5 linked regions of the Nothobranchius furzeri genome follow. The protein of the gene in region 4 interacts with the protein of the main gene of each other region in a pairwise test. Links are inferred from orthologs where the notes say so. Each region holds a gene or a part of one and is shown on either strand. Other genes may lie near its edges. The genes, in order: mafga; waca; troponin T, slow skeletal muscle; nfe2l2a; mafk.

Region 1 (4,122 bases), on a different chromosome or scaffold from region 4:
CGCCTCTCAGAGTAAGGACTCCAAAGCACTTTACACTACAGTGTATCATTCATCCATTCACACACTGATGGTGATGAGCTACGATGTAGCCACAGCTGCCCTGGGGCGCACTGACAGAGGCAAGGATGCCGAGCACAGGCGCCACCAGTCCCTCCGACCACCACCAGCAGGCAAGGTGGGTTAAGTGTCTTGCCCAAGGACACAACAGCAGAATCCTCTGCAACCTTCCGATTACTGGACAACCCGCTCAACCTGTTGAGCTACTGCTGCCCTAACACAACTTGAGCTGGACTGTGACCAAACTTAGCCTCACATAAACAGTACAATTGCACAAACAAAATAATTACACAAAATATTCAAATGGGGGTCATGTTCTCTAGCCTTTAACATTAACTGGTTCCCCACACTCTCCCCCACAAAATAAATGTCGTCCCAACAAAGCAAAAAACTCTGGAGCGGCTGATTCCTCAGCTGGTATGGAGGTAGGTTTGGAAGATAAGTCTCTGGAAATATTTTCTGTAGTATACAGTCTTTAACATGGCACTCATCTGCTATGTCACATCATGTTGTAAAGGCAGACATTACTGGCCAGGTGATATCTGCAAGGAGGATACTCTGCTATATCTGCAGGTCAGTATACCAGACTGTAAAGTTTAACTCAAAACTTAACATAACCGAACGTCATAACCAAGTGTAACACTAATAACACTAAATACGCACGCTCTTGGTATCAAAATGTGTCTTTAAAGAGCAAGTCAACCCCTACCAGAGTCTAACTCCACTCCCACTTCATGTTTGAAAAATGCAACACATACTGTTGCCTGGCAGACCGAGAGGGCGAAGCCGCTAACAAATACACACGCACTCAGGCTCACGACAGCAATGTGACATCATAATGTACCAGTTTACGTCATAGCATACTTCTTAGCCAATAGCAGTGGCAGATTTAAATTAGAATACAGTGCAGAGTTTTTACCTGACAACGGCACAACACTGCCAGTTTTAGGCAGAATATTTAAATTTTAACTAAGATGCACTGAAGTGCCAAATTATTGACGAAACGTGTCTGCAGCACGATTAGACACTCATTTATTTAGTTTAGCAGCAAAAAAAAATGTTTATTTGGGGATGACTTGCTCTTTAAAATTCCCGGACATCATAAGTGAAATCCATGGCACAAAACAAGCAGAATTAGAAAACAGCGTTTTTAGCCCCATTGACTTGCATTCATGTTTTCATTCTTCCGGGGACCCGTGACGCAGAAGTGACTTCCTTATATGGTATGGTGCTGTCGTGCCTCTGGCCACTCCGCCCCATGCTACAAGCTACAGCCAAGTATAGGCGAGCTGCTGCAGCTGCGTGTAAAACGTTGAGAAACAGTTTTTTTGATGTGGGTATCACCATCCCGCGTCCCGGAGGTGATTTCCTATTTCGAGGAATTGCTTGTTGCCGCGGTTTACAGTAGGCAGGTAGAGCATGGGGATGTCCTCACTTGGTGTTTTTTGCAGGCGTGGAGTTTTCCACTTTGACAAGTATCAGGCACCGAGAGGTTGAGTCGTGGAATGTCAACAAGCATGTAAACCTCTGCAGGCGGCTTCTGCGAGACGTCGGTGTGCTGCCGTCTGTTTTGTCAGCCTTATTTTTATTTCTTCTTTTTTTTCGGTGGCTTGTCAACTCATGAGCATCTTGCTGTTGGTCGAACAGGCTGCTTCATCACCGCGAGTCGAGCCAGCGGCTTAACAAGACCAGGTTGGTTGTTGCTGATGTTCTTTCTTCTGATCCAAGACGAACATGCATGGATTGTTAAAATCGAACATTGTTTCGTTTATGTGAATGCTTTGATTTGATCGTCCTGAAAATAGCTTTTCGACCAGTTCATGTTGAATTGCTTTTAACCTAAGTGACTTTTCATTTAGTTAAAACCTGACAATGGTAGTCAAACATATTTTTTTTTGGGGGGGGGGGGGGGATGTCACAGCCGGTGAGCCCGAGAGAGATGTTGAATTTCAAAGCCCCCAAAAAGCGATATGTATTATTATTTTTTTTTTTATCATGCTGCATCATCACAGTGACGGATTTAGACATTCTGAGAACCCACCCCGAAATATGGCACCACCGGACAAAGGTCTGCTCGCCTGATAAGGGTCGATGCTCATCTCCAACCCTCCGTTAATATGGAGGATGGATCGAAATAGTTCTTTTGTCAAGACCGCCATGCCCATATGTCTATTGGATGATCAACATTTAGCTGAGAATGTGTGTTTTGTTGCAGCGCTGTCACGATAAACAGACACGACTGATTGTGCGTGTGTGTGTGCGTGTGTGTGCGTGTGTGTGCGTGCGTGCGTGCGCGCGAGAACAACGATTGTAAAATTGCCATGATTTGACTCACGCGATGACTGGATGGTCACATTTTGTCATGTATAGGCTAATTCCTGAATGTAAAGAATAAAACAAGCACATGACCTGACAAGCAGTTCACATGCCTTCAGTTTTTGCTGAACAGTGTGCTTCCTTTCATATGACAATGACAATTTAACAGTTTGTCATCGACTTGACAGCTGCTTTTGTCTTCCTGTGTGTGACATTATGATATTTGCATCAGAAGCTTGGCTTTGTGATAAAGCGTACTGCCCATCTCTGTCTTTCTCTGCAGCTAACAAGTAAAGATGATGGCCCTTTATATGCACAAAAAGAACGCAGATGTGGAATTAGTCCAGTATTTGATGGGAAATTACATTTAGAAAAATTCCAGTCTGGTTTTAAGCCAGTCCACAGTACAGAATCTGCAATGCTCTGGGTTTTTAATTACATTTATTGGCAACTGATTCTGGGGACTTTATTTTGATATTGTTGGACCTATCGGCTGCATTCGATACTGTTGATCAGTCTCTCCTGATTTCTAGGATGGAAGACTTTGTGGGTGTTTGCAGGGTCGCGCTGGATTGGTTTGTGTCGCACGTGGCTGACAGAACCTTCAGTGTCTCATTGGGAGATTCTACAGGTCCTTCTCAAAAAATTAGCATATTGTGATGAAGTTCATTATTTTCAGTAATGTACTGATAAATATTAGACTTTCATATATATTAGATTCATTGCACAAAACTGAAGTAGTTCAAGCCTTTTATTGTTTCTAATATTGATGATTTTGGCATACAGCTCATGAAAACCCAAAATTCCTATCTAAAAAATTAGCATATTAGCATCTAAAAAATTTCATCCGACCAATAAAAGAAAAGTGTTTTAATACAAAAAAAGTCAACTTTCAGATAATATGTTCAGTTATGCACTCAATACTTGGTCGGGAATCCTTTTGCAGAAATGACTACTTCAATGCGGCGTGGCATGGAGGCAATCAGCCTGTGGCACTGCTGAGGTGTTATGGAGGCCCAGGATGCTTCGATAGTGGCCTTAAGCTCATCCAGAGTGTTGGGTCTTGAGTCTCTCAACTTTCTTCACAATATCCTACAGAATCTCTATGGGGTTCAGGTCAGGAGAGTTGGCAGACCAATTGAGCACAGTAATACCATGGTCAGTTAACCATTCACCAGTGGTTTTGGCACTGTGAGCAGGTGCCAGGTTGTGCTGAAAAATGAAATCTTCATCTCCATAAAGCTTTTCAGCAGATGGAAGCATGAAGTGCTCCAAAATCTTCTGATAGCTAGCTGCATTGACCCTGCCCTTGATAAAGCACAGTGGACCAACACCAGCAGCTGACATGGCACCCCAGACCATCACTGACTGTGGGTACTTGACACTGGACTTCAGGCATTTTGGCATTTCCCTCTGCCCAGTCTTCCTCCATACTCTGGCACCGTGATTTCCGAATGACATGCAAAATTTGCTTTCATCTGAAAAAAGTACTTTGGACCACTGAGCAACAATTCAGTGCTGCTTCTCTGTAGCCCAGGTCAGGCGCTTTGCCACTGTTTCTGGTTCAAAAGTGGCTTGACCTGGGGAATGTGGCACCTGTAGCCCATTTCCTGCACATGCCTGTACACGGTGGCTCTGGATGTTTCTACTCCAGACTCAGTCCACTGCTTCTGCAGGTCTCCCAAGGTCTGGAATCTGTCCTTCTCCACAATCTTCCTCAGGGTCCGGTCACCTTTTCTCGTTGTGCAG
Region 2 (4,220 bases), on a different chromosome or scaffold from region 4:
TAGTAAGTACTCTGTTACGAGCGATTCTGTTGAACAAGTGAAGAGTTAGGAAGGCGTGGGTTACGGTGACAGAAGCCTGAAAATAATACTCATAAAACAGCAACCAGAGTCTCTGAGTCATTGCAGTATAATCGCTGATATGAGCCAATACTGTTAGACTGCAGCCATGTTTGCCCTGATAACTATTAACTCCATGGTGCATGACCCATGTGATCTTCAGTAGATGCAATTACATCATCATAAATTTAGTTTAACATGATAGATGTTTTTTCTCTGGGCAAGAAGTATACAATATGGCCCACCTCTAGAAGAAATTGAAATTATTTTATATCAATTATAAATATATAATTAAAAAGTGCCTCTGGGACATTTGATACACCTCTAGCTCTCAACTGTGTGTGTGCACGCGCGTGTGTGTGTGTTAACAGACCGCTGCACCAGAGAATAGGCACTACGGTTAAAGTTTGACAAGAATCAACACATTTTTATGCATTTAATATACTGATGTATGTTTATAATTTCTCAAGACAGCTTGAAGTGAGTTAACTTGTAAATACTTTACAGGAGGAAAACTACTGAGATATATTTATATGGGAATTCAGCAAAAATATATTGAGATATAAGTTTTGGTCCATATTGCCCAGCCTTAGCATCCACTGGTTCCACCAACACAGGCATTTATCATTACACAAGTCTCCTCTGCTTCCAGTCAGCTCATGGGTCAAAAATGATGCAAGAGAATGGAGCTATAGTAAACATAGACACACACACACACACCCAGATGCTGGACCTAACTGTGGCTCACGCTACAGCACACACATCTTTAGATGACAAGCTAACTACACCTGGATAGCATGCTGCTAAAGTAAACACAGCCAAACCATCATGCCCTTAAAAAATCCTCCTCGTCTTGAGAAAAGAAAGATTGCTTCTCTACAACCAGTTTCACAATCTTGAAAATTCATCATTTTAAAAATTCAAACACTTTCCAGGCTTTCAAGCCGCGGTGAAAGCCGTGTATATTTAACATGATTTGCTCTTTACACTTGACTGACCAGGCAGCATGTGGTAAACTTAGTGAACATTTAGTTATGTGGCGTACTGGTGATACTCATCTAGTTATCTGCATTAACCAGGACCTTACCTCCGTCCCGGTCTCTGACCCGGTGTGTGTGGACAGCCTTGGCTCTGCTGTGTCCTGTGCTCTCCACGTGTTTGTTCTCAGGGCTGTCAGACCTCCTGAGCATTTTGCAGGGAGGAGTGACATCAGAGGAGTCTTGCGTCTTTTCGTGTCGATGGTCCCCTCCTGGATGGCTCTTGGATGAGTACTTAAGAGTCTGTAAACACAAAACAAACATGTCAGGGAACTGTAGTAATCGCAGCTGGTTTACATCAGAGGAACTTCCATAATGCGTGTTATTACAAATGTACACGACCAAAGGATTTAAACTGAGTCACGTTTAGCTTGTGTTATTACAAATACACAATTTCATGGCAGAGGGGGGAAATGAGGAAGAGCACAAGGACTAAACATTGCTTCATTCCACTATGAGAAACCAGATTCCTTCCATTTGATTTTTCTCTGTGCGCTCCCTCTGAAACACCTCGTTTGTAAATGAGGACATTTACCTGCTAAAATCACGCGTCAAGAGCAGAACCTCCAGTCATTAAGAACATCAGACTGTTTCATTACCATTAAGACACCTGCCTCTTGAGTGAACATCAACCCTAATATCTCCTTTATGACGCCAGCTTCAGTAAAGTTGATAAAGATCCAACAGAACGCAATTTTATTGAGCTCACCTTGATTAATGAGAGTTAGAGGTAGTCTCACTAACCTGGCATAGAGAGGCGCTCATAAACCAACATAGTTACGTACAACCAGGCTTTTAAAAGGCCAGGCAACACTTCAGGAGACACGTCCTGATTAGTCTTCGCTTCAGTGTCATGTTTATTCTACGTGTACAGCCTCAGGCCATAAACTAGTCGCATTTTGCTGCTTACATCCTTAAAATGACTGATTTTCGGCGGCGCCCTAATCGGAATAGCGAGCAATCAGGCTATCAGCTAACATTAGCTTTGATCCGCAGTAAAAGTCTTTCTGTCGTGTCAAAGCAGCGTTATTCGACGGCCCTGTGTACGCGTACGTTACGTGGGCCCCAAAATAGACGCGTTGCGTGTGTTTTCTGTGTTTAAATTGTGATTTTAAGCGAGACTCCTACTTTTCGTGTTATTTTCCGCACCGAGGCCTGCACACCACAGAAGCCTGAGCTAGAGTGTCCATTTTAATCTTTTTTGCTGCTAGCATGCTAACAGCCTTGGGTGTCCAAACAAGTACCTGATAGGGCTGAGAATCTCTTCGGTCGCACCTGCAGACAGAAAGTAAACAGTTGTGAATGTGTTACATCAAATATCGGCACTGAAAATGTGTTTTCCAGTGGAGCAACAGCTGAACGCTCAAGTTTCTAGTCACTTAATTTGGCTTTCAGTAAAAATGGCGGATTGTGAAAGCGCAGTAGCTACGAGGAAAAAGAAAATAAGTAACGTTAAAATGATGTTTACCCATCGCCGAGTCTCGGTTGTTTCCTTGCATACATTACCATCAATGCCGTGTTAGTGTGTTTAGAGTGGGATGTGAAAGACTGATAATGACACTGTTTTTGTTGTTGATGTAGCAATAAAAATCGTCTGTTATTTCAGCCTAGCTTGTGGGTATAGCAATGCTATCGGGAACAGGTCTAGAGAGCACCCTCACTCAGTCCATCTCCCACTCTCACGCAGCCGACTAGCTAGCGATCAAAACGCAGCAGTAGCTCTTGCTGGGTTGCCAGATACTTGAGCAAGGATTCTGTATTCATACATGTACTAGTTAAGTGTAGAATCTTTTTGACATTTTTATAGATGTAAAAATAGATCAAATGCTACTAAACACTACTAAATTAAATCAGATTTAACAAAAAACATTTTTAAGCCAGAGCGTGAATTATATAAGACAAAAATATTTTATTGCCCCATGGAAAAGGATATTAATTACTTATTAATACAGTTTTATATAACTTGTTATTTAAAGGGGGCTTGTTTACGGAAAACATGTATTAAATACAAACTTGGCAACCTTATTGCGACGTCATTACGTAGACGCCTCATTGGAAGCTGGAGAGCGTAAAAGCGTGGCTGCCATGTTGGGTGGGTTCCTCACTCTCCAGAGCATAGCTGTAATCAACGTAGGGTGGGCAACTATGGCCGTTTTTGGTGCAGCCTGTTGGGGTTTTACATTTTTATGTATTACATTTATTTATAGTTATATTTTAACTATCACTATAACTATGTTTGATTTTGTAAAAAAAAAAAAACATAAAATGTGTTTTGGTTAGGAAACACCTTCCTCAGCAAAAGTAAATGCACCTGTTCCTGAAAATAACGGAACAGGTGAGAGAGCAAAAGTTTTGCTTTGGAAGAGGGTTCTGAAAAACTCCAAAAAGAACCATTCCTATAGAGGTCCTCAAAGGTGGTGTAGGAGTCAAATGTGTTTTATGTCTGCATACCTGAGAGGAGGCTTGGCCTCAGCTGATTGGTTGATTTGATTGTGGAAGCACCAGCCTACTTAAACCAATTCAGATCAGACTCAGATGTTGCTGAAATGGGACAAACAGTTTTTTTTACTGTGTAGTGAGGACAATGGCTGTGTGTAATGGACTCTGCGGACAGCCATTGGGGCAAGTAACGCATTCATTGTAAACCACTTTAATTGCGAGTAAATGGATCATGGACATTTTGGAAGAAGACGAACTAATAAACATCATCGGAAATAAACACAAGCTGCAATTCTTTTAAACACACGTAAAGACCACCACCCGCATCAGTAACCAGTAGTGCCACTGAATAGGGCATTGGCGCAACACTTCAGGTGGTAATTTCCTTGATGGGGATATATAACATCAGTGAGACCAGGAGGAAATAAATTATTTAGAGTGATGGGCATGTGTACTGATGGGGAAGTATATTTAAAATGATTTGTGATCAAATCTTAAAACTAGCTTGTATCACGGGATTAGTTGAGAAGTGAGGCAGATTGAGCGGCAACGGTGTAGACAGTAATGCCCATGGTCATCGGGGCACTGGGGGCAGTAACCCCCAAACTGGAAGACTGGCTAAAGGAGATCCCAGGAAAAACATCAGACGTCTCAGTCCAGAAAAGTGCAGTTCTAGAAACAGCTAAG
Region 3 (3,681 bases), on a different chromosome or scaffold from region 4:
TGTCACTTTTGAGCTAAAATATCAAATATGCTGAAGTCATCATCAAGTCAACAGATCCAAGTCGATTCAAGTCGCAAGTCATTGGCGTTCAAGTCCGAGTCAAGTCGTAAGTCTTTATAGATTTCAAGTCAGAAGTCATTAAAATAATGACTCGAATCTAAGTCGTGTGACTTGAGTCCAAGTTATGTGACTCGAGTCCACACCTCTGCCTAAGAGTCATCTCTTGGGGGTAATGATGATGGAACTCACGTAAAGCCTTTACAAACCAAAGTGTCCAGAAATGTGGCTGTTTCATACTGCAGCATGTCGCTTCAGACACTTTACTGTTGAATAACATTTCCATGTGTGAGCTACTGTCCGGATATTTGGGGAAACAAAAGTATAATTTATCCTCTTCATTCTGCAAAAAAGAAGAAGAAAAAAAGCAGTGAGGGTCAGTAAGGTCATTCACCAAGCTGTGGAATAAATTAAAAATGGAGCTGAAGGAATGTTCATCAATGTGCTCTAAAAGAAATGTAAAAGAACATATTCAGAACAGTTTTGTGAAGTTTACTGAGCATGAGTGTGTTTGTGTGTGTGAACATTTTGGTGTATTTATGATATAATTAAATCATTGACTCGAGTACAAATATGAGTATAAAATTAAAGTAATGAGAGTGGACAAAAGTTTGGGAGAAGGGATATAATTAGTTACATTTGTACTTCTTCCCATCTCTGTTTGGATATGATTGAATTCATGTAATTATTTGCTGCTTATATAATTGTTTTTCATTGCTTTTCTGTTATTTCTGTGTTATTGTTATTGATTCATTTGCCAGACAGATGGAGCTTGAGATCGATAGGTGGGTCGGTGCTGCGTCTGCAGTGATGCAAGAGCTGAGCCGGACGGCGAAGCTCTCGATTTCCATTTTTGGTTCTTTTTAAAACACGGGAAAGGTTTTTCTTTACCTTGCTGACGTACGTTTCGTTTGCTGACTGCAAAACATCCTCAGAGCTGACGCTGATTGTGGCGTCACTTCCTACTCCGTTTATCCGCTCTGGACTTACCGGTCGATCTACGTTCCTACCCTCACCGATGGTCACGAGCGTTGGGTCGAAATGAGTTTTCTCTGCAGGGTGGCTGGGCTCTCCCTTAGAGATAGAGTGAGAAACTCGGCCATCTGGGAGGGGCTCGGTGTAGACCCGCTGCTCCTCCACATGGAGCCAGAGGAGCCAGTTGAGGTGGCTTGGGCATCTAGTTGATGCCTCCTGATCGTTTACCTGGTGAGGTTTTTGAGGCACGTCCAACCAGGAGGAGACCTGAAGGAAGACCCAGGACACGCTGGAGGGACTATGTCTCACGGCTGGCCAGGGAACGCCTTAGGGTTCCCCCGGAGGAGCTGGCCCAAGTGGATGGGGTGAGGGAAGTCTGGGCCTCTCTGCTTAGGCTGCTGCCCCCATGACCCAACCCCGGATAAGCGGATGAAATTGGATGGATGTGTATATTTAAAATAAATGTACTAATAATACTAGGATTTCAGTAAAATATGTGGTCAAACGAGATAAAAAATAAAACCTGTGATTTTAATTCTGTTAGGTTTTTGTTTTTGTCCTTTAGGCCGATGGTCACTCAGCTCGCTCCACCAAAAATCCCAGAGGGGGAGAGGGTGGATTTTGATGTGAGTTCCTTCAACAGTAAAACCAAAACTATTAATAAGTTGTTCTAGATCAGTAAATCTCCCTGTGTGCTGCCAGGACATCCACAGGAAAAGAATGGAGAAGGATCTCCTGGAGCTTCAGACGCTGATCGATGTCCACTTTGAGCAGAGGAAGAAAGAGGAAGAGGAGCTGATCGGACTCAAAGAGAGAATTGTGATCAATTTTTCAAGCATTTGCCTTCATTTTCTCCTCTGAAAACCTACAGCAACCCTTCTGATCAACAACATAAAGGTTCTGCTCTTTTGTAATCATTTAGGAGAGAAGGCGAGCAGAGAGAGCTGAGCAGCAGCGTGTGAGGGCTGAGAAAGAGCGGGACAGACAGACACGCATTGCAGTAACTGATTATTTGATTACATGCATTATTTGATATTAAACTTTTGTTTGTTTTTCAATGTGTAGTCGTGCTTTTTTCAGGAGGAGAGACAGAGAAAAGAGGAAGAAGAAGCCAAGAAGAGGGCAGAAGATGAGGCCAAGAAGAAGAAGGTTCTCTCCAACATGGGGGCTCATTTTGGAGGATTTCTAGCAAAGGCAGGTGTAGTTTATCAGCAGGTGGATTTAAAATGATAGACATAGCTTGATCTGATGGTGGAAGTACTTTGTTTTCTGCAGGAAGAACAAAGACGAGGCAAAAGGCAAACGGCGAGGGAGATCAAGAAGAAAACTCTGGGAGAACGAAGAAAACCCCTGGGGATTGAGAACCTGAGGGAGGACAGCCTGAGGTCAGTGAAGGTCTCACAAAAGGTTGATGTGTTCAGGGAGTGTCATTTAAACGTGATGTTTTCCAGAGAGAAAGCCAAAGAAATGTGGGAGTGGATCTACCAACTAGAGTCTGAGAAGTTTGACCTGACCGAGAAGATGAAGAAGCAGAAATATGAGGTAGCTGAGAATGCGCAAAGTTCAGGTCCTAAAAACTGCAACAACTCTGACACAAATTTCATGAACTATTTTTACAGATTAACGTTCTTCTCAACAGAATCCAACATGCGCAAAAATTGTGAGTCAATCCGCTTGTTAATGCTAATCCACAGCACAAATCCTAAAGCCCAGCTTGCAAAGCAGAGCCTGGTAAACCTTTGACTATGCAAACATAGCACAGATTAATGGCTGCAGCTTATAACGAGCTCGAGAAACCGTGCTTCATAGCAGACAGGATGAGATATTTACACAGCTATATGAAGCAGAAAGCAACAGTAGAATATCTCACTTTGAAATCCTGCTGAGAAATAATGATCAGTGCTCTGAAACGCTGCTAGTAACCTGGTCCGAATCTTCTCTTGCAGCAAAAAGGTCCACGGCAAAGGGAAGGTGGGAGGACGCTGGAAGTGACGATGTTTCTCAAGCTGCAGCAGTTTTGTGACATTCAGCTGTTTTATTTTGTTGTTTGCTTGATTTCTGAGTTACATTTGGATCTGAAGCTTTTAAAGTGCATGCAAAAATAAAAGAACATTTACACTGGTGTTATTAAAATGCAATCAGATTTATTGCTGTTTCATTAGATGTTTTTTTCTACTGAAAAAAGAAACAGAACATATGCAGGATCCAGATTTATTATCCTATCACTGTCTGTCCTCCTGCTAGTGCAAATCTTCCAGAAATGGGTCATGTGATGCAAAATCACTAAATCTGACATTTACTTGCATCAGGATCAGAATAAACACTTGTAGTGGAAAACATTTTTACATCTTCAGTTTGAAAACCGCATGGACGTCATCACTGCGTCCCTGGTTCCACGGTTCAAATCCCGCCTCCAGAGCCATGGCTGCCACCTTCTCTGCAAAACCCACCTCTTGCTCTTTGCTTAGATCCAAAATGTACCTAACACACACACGCACACACACACACACACACACGTGCGCGCACACACACACACACACACACACACACACACACACGCACACACACACACACGTGCGCGCACACACACACACACACACACACACACACACACACACACACACAAACACACACACACACACACACACA
Region 4 (4,201 bases):
GGCGTGTTTTTGATTTTGTACGGCGGCTTTAAAATGTATTCCACTTCGATGCAAACCACCTGACCCACCTGTGTGTGTGTGTCTGCTAGATGAGGTGGTTACCTAGCTACAACACAACCAGGGCCTATCACATGATGTAGGAGTGGCCAGCCACCAACAGGAGTAATGATGCCAGTTGCTTGTACCTGAGTAACCTCCAAGGGTGTGCCAGCTGACTGCAGAGGGGCGCTGGGCGGTGGTGGGCGAGGGATGTACTCCCCAGTCTCCTCATCTAGCTGTAGCTGTGCCAGAAGGGCCTTCTCTTGCTCCCGCAGCAGGTGCAGCTTCTTCTCCTCCTCCAGCTCGCGCTGCCTCTGCAGCTCGTGCTCTTTCTGACGGTGGTTGTAGTCGAACACCTCGCGCCTGGCTCCGAGATCGATGTCCTGCTTCCACAGGATGTCAATCAGGTCCATGTCCTGGAAAGACGGCCACAGATCACCTTAGAGAGTTGCGAGCTGCCGTGCCATCCTGCAGCGATGAGTGCCGGAACAACAACTGTGAAATCAGGCCGTCGTACCTGCCACACCCTGTCCTGTTTCTGCTCGCTGTCAGCAACGTGGTACAAAGCCCAAGTGGAAGAAGAGAATGAATTATAAATGTTGTTCTCTGTTTTCATTGTCGCCACCAAACACCCGACAGCGTCTTGATCTGATAGCCTTACCCATCTCATTACACTGAGGTGTGAGTTCTTTTGTCCCGCTCCAACTCTTCAATAATCAAGTGACCCTATCATTTTATGCGACCCTTTGAGTTTTCTAAACCAGTTTAAAGCCAAACGTTCGTTTGCAACTTGTACACTATGAAGACAGAAATAATTTTACACCATAAATTCAGATCAGAAACCAAACAACTATAAGAATCTTCTGAGTTTCCACTCACCACCATCATGCTTTGTGCTCTTTAAATGAAAAAACCCCAAAGTTGGTTGTTGTTTTACATTCTTCTTGGGTTTTTCTCTGTAGTTTATTTACAGAAGAAATCTGTTTCACAAGACCTCAGGATGTTGCATGAAACCAGACACCGGTCTGAGAAAAACCTTAGAAGCACGTGACATGTTTGTTCCTCAGATCGGTGAATAAAAACTACTTCTGATTGGTGGCTTTATCCTGAACTCTGGGCAAAAAAACCCACAAAAAGCAGAACAATGCAAAAACGAACGGGGTGTAACTATCTGATTAAAACGTATAGCGACAAACCACCATAGCAAACAGATGAGCTCCTATGTATTTTTGGACACTGTTGACACAATCTTTCCTGAATTTGTCTTTTCAAAATAAAAAGCCACTAACACCCCTTGCCTCAGTGTTGCATCAGAGTCATGACCGCCAAAGGATTACACGTTACTGAGCCTGCCTACGATAAATCACGCTCCCCGGCAGAAAGGTGAACATGCAACCAGAAATTATAGCATTTGGCAGAATGAGGAAGTCCTCAAAAAAAGTGTAGGTGGCATCTGAAAACACACCTGTGGTCGATGTTTTTCAAAGCTTAAAAAAAGAAACTGCGTTAGTCAGGCCTTAAATAGAAACTTCAAGTTCAGCACTTAAAATTCTCCTTTTGTGCACCACAGAAGTTTTATTTTAGTTAGATTCTCTTTTAGAGTAACCAGAAAATGCTAAAGTGTGGTGGCTTTTCTTTTGTAAGGTCAATGAGGATTTCACAAGACTCAGGTGGTCACGTGAACGAGGAAGCTTGGATTTCCCCTCGACAACATGCAGCCACACCAGTCAGACCACCATCCTTTCAGGTAAAGTTAAGACTAATGAAACGGGTCACCATAATGAGTATTTCACAACATTAAAGGCTGATCTGAACACGTGTATCATTTAAGATGGTTCTTTATTTAAAGGAAGTGAAAGGGGCCGATCTTTCCTTTGATCATTATTCTTTGGACATTCACCCTTGACCGAGAGTGGTGAAACACAGCAACACATGTTCCAAAACAGCCGCTTTAGGCTCTGATCTGTCATTTTTAAACACCCAAGCTCCCTTTGACAACATTCTTGCCTAAACACAGTAAAATAATTAACTAGTCAATTGAGAAAAGAGTTTTTGTGTTTTATGTAACAAAATCAGATTTAAAACAACAAAAATAGAAGCTACTATATGTTTTTTTTAAATATATAATAAAATGGTGGTTAGAAGATGGCCAGTATCAGATAAGGGATCACATGCCTGGGAGAGGAAGGGGGTGAGGAGGAAGAGGGAAAGGACGCGCATTCTTGTGAGAAAACAATTTTCTCCAGGTTTACCCACTTTTAAAGGCATGACACTTTGTATGGCCAAGGGGGAAAGAGCCAACGCCGGTTAAATCGTGCCACTGATATTTTATGTTATTCCTATTTTGATTTCCCTGCGAAGAAAAACGTTACATGACTTGCAGAACTGAAAGTTTTACATGAGTTACCGGTTTTATTTAAATGTTTTATCACAATAATTCCAAATTAAATAGTACAATCTGCCCCAACTTAGATATTTGATTTTAATTAAAAATACATAAGAAGGCCACCTAAAGTGTTATAACAGAGGACGTTGACAAGGTTTGTTCAAAGAAAGCTAATTAATCAAATATTGTTTACCTGTTGACTGGAATGCATCACCTCCATTTCCATCATCATGGAGATCTGTGCTGACGTAAATAAAACGCCTTATAGGTGAAAACTGGATGTATTATTAATCCACAAATGGCAGGTTAAAATGGCGAGCGGTCCGTAAGGCCAATACTGTCCGTGAGGGCGGCCGCAGCTGACTTTCGGGAAATATTTGCCTCCTCCGGAGCTCGAGAGCGTCACGGAACCGATGGCCCCGCCCACCAAGCTGCGGCTCCGGGATCGTCCCACTCACGGCGGCCTATGAGACAGGAGCATAAGACCCGCTGTGCGCATGCGCGCTATGCCAGCCTGCCTAAACCAGTCTATGGCCTAAACTCATAACTGTTTAACATACTGGTACCCAAGTAGTTATTACACAACTTACTTACACGTGTTTAAATTATCCTCAAATATCCACGTGAGCTTAATTTTATATCTAAAAAAGATATTTTGTGCTTAAATTGGCCTCTCCAAACATTGCAGCTGTTACCTATCAATGTTTTTGTTTCGTTTGGTAAACAGCGAGCCCTGCTGGTGGTTTGGGTGTGGGACTGGACGCCATGGCTTCTCCTGTCTCCTTGAGGTTATTTACTGACAACAGGAAAATTTCTATTAAAAAAAATTGTACATTTATTGAAAATGCCTCTTGGAGACATAAAGGCTGTTTTAAAAAGCACTTATTTATATGTGGTAACTTACTATTTTTGAATAGTACTAGCACATTTAAAGGTATTTGTATGGTATTTTGGCTACTTTCTAACAATTCCTAGATGTCACATTGCATCATACATTTGCATGTCTTCAGTAAAAAGTATGCAACTGATTCACTGCATAACAACAGGTTCTTTTTACAATTATGTCACATATAGTGGTCAAAATAATTAAAAGGTGAATTTTGATTATTTGTTTTCAAGTTTTGGTCATTGTGCTGTTACATCATCACGTAGTGTTTCTGATCTCCTTCAGCTTTTTGTTCCTTTCCTTTATTGTTTAATTGCAAAATATGAAAACTCAAGTGTCGTAAAATAATCTCAAAGAGATGCCTTCAAACAATAACTCAAGACCTGAGAGATACTTCATAGTTCAACCATGTGTGTGTTTTGTCGCTAAATAGGCTACTACTTTACGTGTCAAACTGTTGGGTTAGTTTTTATTCATCTAAATAAGTGGGGAAAGTTGCTTTTATGCCTATTAATAGCAATTAACTTGGTAATCTAAAAAATAGTTTCTTTCAAATTTGTCAAAGACAAAATAGTGTTGTTTTTCTATTGAGCTTGAGACTTTCATGTCTAAATATTTCATAAGTTTGCACTTGACAGAGAAAAAAACTGCCAAAGTTCAATGAAAAACTTTGATAGACCATCAGAATAAATGACAAAGAGCTTTTTGAAAAGTATAAGAAAGTCTGATTTCTTGGAAGAAAGATGAAAATGAGGAATGACTCAAGACTTTTGCACAGTACTTATTCATTTGAACATATTTGAAACAACAGAGGAAATATACACTGAACAATGAGAATTACTTTAACTTTTTTCTGCCAAATAAACTGCTTCGATAACTTTCACCAAAGG
Region 5 (4,205 bases), on a different chromosome or scaffold from region 4:
GTTACCAGTTATCTAAAAGGGTTGATAGCTTTAGGAGGCAGACACTGTTTCAAGTAGAGCCACTGTTTTCCTCAGAAAAAAAAAAATTAAAATCACTCAAAAACTACATTTTGTATTCCTTGTTGTCTGATCCTGAAATTAAAGACAGAAAAGCAAGAGCAATCTCTGGAGGAAGACACAATTTTCCATAACCTTTAATTATGGTTCATATTTCTCTGTGTCCAACAACCAACGCATGGCACACCTGAGGGTCGGGTGTGACAGCTGAATGTTTAGACAGCATGGTGTGTTTGTTTGTCCTACGAATCACATTCAATTAGAGTCTCCAAGTTGTCATCAGCACCAAGGGAACTCCCCGTAACACAATCCTGTTAACAGGTGCGTGTGTGAACCTGGCACCTCCCCCACCTGCGGCTGTGATGCTGCAAAAGCAGATGTTGAGGTTCAGGTGGCTCGTCAACATAAGCAGGAAAAGACCTTTCTTTGATGCAAAATCTGTCCACATAATCAGCTCTTATTGCCTGTTTACACTCCACTCACTGCATTCCTGTGTTTAAAATCCCAGGTTTCTAGCTATGGCATGGAAATTGCTCCATAGGCCCACAGTGAAGGATTGGATGAAACAGATGTTATAGGCAATGCCGCTGGAACAGATTACCTATATCTTAAAGGCCAAGCAACATTTATTTGACGAAATATGGACACCTTTTCTAACATATATTAAGAGGATGGACATAAAAATCTGAGGACTTATAAAGTGGGAGAGTAGGAAAATAATCGGTCTTCTGACCAGCATTAAGACTGGAATGGGAGAAGCAAAAGCAAGGTGTAATTCGGGGACTTCTTACTCAAAGTTTTGTTAAACATGTCTATGTGAATATTGCCTTCAATACTATATATGCTCTTACATTGGAGAGGATCGCCAGAAGCACAACCAAAATTGTTAAATTGTTCTATTGTTCTGTTGTTCCATGAAGATTTTATACAGAATGTACTTTCAGTATACAACATAATACTGTGTGAAAGGTGTACAGTAAACTGAAAACTCAATAAAATATACTTTTTGAAAAAAAGTCCCAGGTTTCCAAAGTAAATAATCAACAGTCAACTTTTTTCCCTCCAGAATGAACAAAACACATCACAGGGAACATGTTCCTGTGACTCATCGAATCAGCAACCACAGCTATTTCACTTTCACAACATCTCACCACTAAACGTTTTGCTCCCCACACCGCTTTCATCCGTCACTAGAGTCCAGAAAAGTGACATCCTGTGTAACAATGTGTGTGTGTGTGTGTGTTTTCATGTGGAGAAGGGGATTTCTCCCCGTGCACTTCTGTGTTCTAATGAGTCAGCTGCTGTCCCTTCTCCATCCAAAGACATCACAACCTTAGTGACTGGACCACATGTTCATCTTATGACAGAGGAGTAGCTACACCCGCTCCTCTGAAGGGCGCTGTGCCTGTGTGCACCCACCAGACACCAGAGTCAAACAGCAGACAACCCAGCTCCAATCTGTGGCACCTCTCAGTGGAAGAGAGCTTCCATTTATTAATAAAATACTAACTACAAGTTTTATGCAAAAGCATAAAGCAAGAGCAGCGAGAATCATGTACTATTAGGTCTTTGCACTTTCAGATCACTGCTTCCTAATCTTAACCCAAGTCACTAAGATTTATAGCTCAGCAGAGCGATGGGATGAAGCCCTTTCTTCCACCGCAGAGATTTAGAGTTTGTGGAAAGATGTGGTCCTTGTGTTGTGTAGCTGGTTTGTGTTACCAGTCATCCCTGGTGGTCTACCCTTTGTCCCACATGTATAAAATGCAGACCACGTGTTGAATCATGTCAGAAGCAGAGCTGCGATTTTGCATGATAACGAATGCGTGCTTTTAAATTAATTATTTTAACATACAAAGCAGAACTTATACTTGCTGTTTACACTTCCATTTTATTTCAACAGCTCATCAAAGGTGTAAATCTAATAGCCTATTAAATAAATAAACAAATAAATCTTCTCTAATGCATCACGAATATGTTGTAGTTAAACTGGTTATTAGTGGTTTTCAGTGGAATCGCTGTTTTTATTTATTTCCTCGTTATAAGGATTAAACTACAAACAGAAAATTCCACAGTTCTGATGTTAAATCAGCACAAATGCATTTAAACTCGCGACAACTCGGCGCGCGCCGTCTTTTCGTACATTGTGTTTTGTTTCTCCAACAACACGTGTCCTCGCGACCAACGCACACAAACCCAAAGTCAACTTTCAGAAACTATATTTTAAAAGATAAAGAAAAGACAAATATTTTTGTTATTAAACGTGTGCGGCAAGCGCGAGCCACGCAGCCCGTCTGTGCCGCTGTGGCATCGCGAGCACTTGAACAATTTAGAGAGGAATGTCAAAACATCTTCCATAAAAAAGAGCAAAAGTGGGAAAACAAGCTCACCTCTGTGAACGCGGATGTTTGTAGACGGAGGGAGTAAAACCGGCGGGGCTCGCTTTCAGGCGGTGATGAATCCGGACAGCGTCGGTACCGGACGGCGCAGCGGTCGATCCTCGTACTAAATAAACTACAAAACAACAACAATGTACCAACATTCCACGCTCTGCTTCCGCAAGCGCCCGCGTCATCAGTTCCTCGTGACCGCCCCCTCCATTCATGAAAATAACTTTGTGCTGACGTCAGTCTGAGAGGGGGGGAGGCCAGAAATAGAAGTTAGACACTGATGCTGACCGCTTTTGCTTACTTTACAAAAGTAGTTAGTGAGCTGCCAGCAAACAGGAAGATCTAGATCCCCCAGGGTTACTTGTTGCTCCTCCGATGCCCACCTGCTGTGCGCGGACAGGTCTGCCTACAAAGTACTCAAAAATGTGCACTAACAGAGGGAAAACAGACTCTCCCCCTCCTCCTCCTCCCGTCTGACTTTGGGAGCAGCTGCAGCATTCCATTCCTGAGGAAAGTATGCAGAGTAGTAGTCCAGCAGTCACAGGATTTCTCTTATTTTAACTGCAGCCGGTAACGTCACAGGTTATTCTGGGTAATTAAACAATGAATTTATAAGCACGCTGAGCCATATAAGGCCGCAGCTTTTACTGAGGTACCTGCTCAGCAGAAGTTTGGAAGTGAGCTTCTGTGGGGAAAATAATAGAATAGAATAGAATAGAATAGAATAGAATTTATTGAGAGGGAGTATTCTCTTGCTACAGCAGCACATGCACTTAAAGAAAGGAAGAAAATAATAACAGAATTACAGGTAAAGTACCAAAAACAATATGGACAATAGAATAGAATAGAATAGAATAGAATAGAATAGAATTTATTTATCCACAGAGGGAGTATTCTCTTGCTACAGCAGCACATACACTTAAAGAAAGGAAGAAAATAACGGAATTACAGGTAAAGTACCAAAAAACAATATGGACAATAGAATAGAATAGAATAGAATAGAATTTATTGATCCACAGAGGGAGTATTCTCTTGCTACAGCAGCACATGCACTTAAAGAAAGGAAGAAAATAATAACAGAATTACAGGTAAAGTACCAAAAACAATATGGACAATAGAATAGAATAGAATAGAATAGAATAGAATTTATTTATCCACAGAGGGAGTATTCTCTTGCTACAGCAGCACATACACTTAAAGAAAGGAAGAAAATAATAACAGAATTACAGGTAAAGTACCAAAAACAATATGGACAATAGAATAGAATAGAATAGAATAGAATAGAATTTATTGATCCACAGAGGGAGTATTCTCTTGCTACAGCAGCACATGCACTTAAAGAAAGGAAGAAAATAATAACAGAATTACAGGTAAAGTACCAAAAACAATATGGACAATAGAATAATAGAATAGAATAGAATTTATTGATCCACATAGGGAGTATTCTCTTGCTACAGCATCACATACACTTAAAGAAAGGAAGAAAATAATAACAGAATTACAGGTAAAGTACCAAAAAACAATATGGACAATAGAATAGAATAGAATAGAATTTTTTGATCCACAGAGGGAGTATTCTCTTGCTACAGCAGCACATACACTTAAAGAAAGGAAGAAAATAACAGAATTACAGGTAAAGTACCAAAAAACAATATGGACAATAGAATAGAATAGAATAGAATAGAATAGAATAGAATAGAATAGAATACTCCTTTGTTGTCCCAGAGTGGAGAAATTCAGGTATAGCAGCAGTTCAAG

The links.
Region 1: the proteins of nfe2l2a (region 4) and mafga interact in binary tests that used the Homo sapiens proteins (3 or more experiments, as listed by UniProt). The link is inferred for Nothobranchius furzeri from reciprocal best matches to the Homo sapiens genes NFE2L2 and MAFG.
Region 2: the proteins of nfe2l2a (region 4) and waca interact in a two-hybrid assay, tested with the Homo sapiens proteins (2 studies listed by BioGRID and IntAct). The two-hybrid records come from large-scale screens. The link is inferred for Nothobranchius furzeri from reciprocal best matches to the Homo sapiens genes NFE2L2 and WAC.
Region 3: the proteins of nfe2l2a (region 4) and troponin T, slow skeletal muscle interact in binary tests that used the Homo sapiens proteins (3 or more experiments, as listed by UniProt). The two-hybrid records come from large-scale screens. The link is inferred for Nothobranchius furzeri from reciprocal best matches to the Homo sapiens genes NFE2L2 and TNNT1.
Region 5: the proteins of nfe2l2a (region 4) and mafk interact in binary tests that used the Homo sapiens proteins (3 or more experiments, as listed by UniProt). The link is inferred for Nothobranchius furzeri from reciprocal best matches to the Homo sapiens genes NFE2L2 and MAFK.

Annotation. Positions count from the first base shown.
Region 1 is NC_091752.1:59,016,441-59,020,562, forward strand, and holds the start of mafga (v-maf avian musculoaponeurotic fibrosarcoma oncogene homolog Ga), read left to right. Parts: upstream 1-1,310; 5' UTR 1,311-1,749; intron 1,750-4,122. UniProt on the Homo sapiens protein: Since they lack a putative transactivation domain, the small Mafs behave as transcriptional repressors when they dimerize among themselves.
Region 2 is NC_091747.1:30,792,137-30,796,356, forward strand, and holds the start of waca (WW domain-containing adapter protein with coiled-coil), read right to left. Parts: upstream 2,806-4,220; 5' UTR 2,604-2,805; coding exon 2,563-2,603; intron 2,370-2,562; coding exon 2,339-2,369; intron 1,338-2,338; coding exon 1,145-1,337; intron 1-1,144.
Region 3 is NC_091756.1:33,965,747-33,969,427, reverse strand, and holds troponin T, slow skeletal muscle, read left to right. Parts: upstream 1-1,398; 5' UTR 1,399-1,526; coding exon 1,527-1,658; intron 1,659-1,734; coding exon 1,735-1,851; intron 1,852-1,954; coding exon 1,955-2,032; intron 2,033-2,112; coding exon 2,113-2,230; intron 2,231-2,307; coding exon of another isoform or gene 2,308-2,311; coding exon 2,312-2,574; intron 2,575-2,651; coding exon 2,652-2,692; intron 2,693-2,978; coding exon 2,979-3,024; 3' UTR 3,025-3,179; downstream 3,180-3,681. Other genes in the region: dynein axonemal assembly factor 3, read right to left, coding at 3,375-3,513. UniProt on the Homo sapiens protein: Troponin T is the tropomyosin-binding subunit of troponin, the thin filament regulatory complex which confers calcium-sensitivity to striated muscle actomyosin ATPase activity.
Region 4 is NC_091754.1:21,645,188-21,649,388, forward strand, and holds the start of nfe2l2a (nuclear factor erythroid 2-related factor 2a), read right to left. Parts: upstream 2,801-4,201; 5' UTR 2,658-2,800; coding exon 2,619-2,657; intron 585-2,618; exon of another isoform or gene 557-584; intron 456-556; coding exon 186-455; intron 1-185.
Region 5 is NC_091745.1:5,283,164-5,287,368, reverse strand, and holds the start of mafk (transcription factor MafK), read right to left. Parts: upstream 2,810-4,205; 5' UTR 2,663-2,809; coding exon 2,448-2,662; intron 1-2,447. UniProt on the Homo sapiens protein: Since they lack a putative transactivation domain, the small Mafs behave as transcriptional repressors when they dimerize among themselves.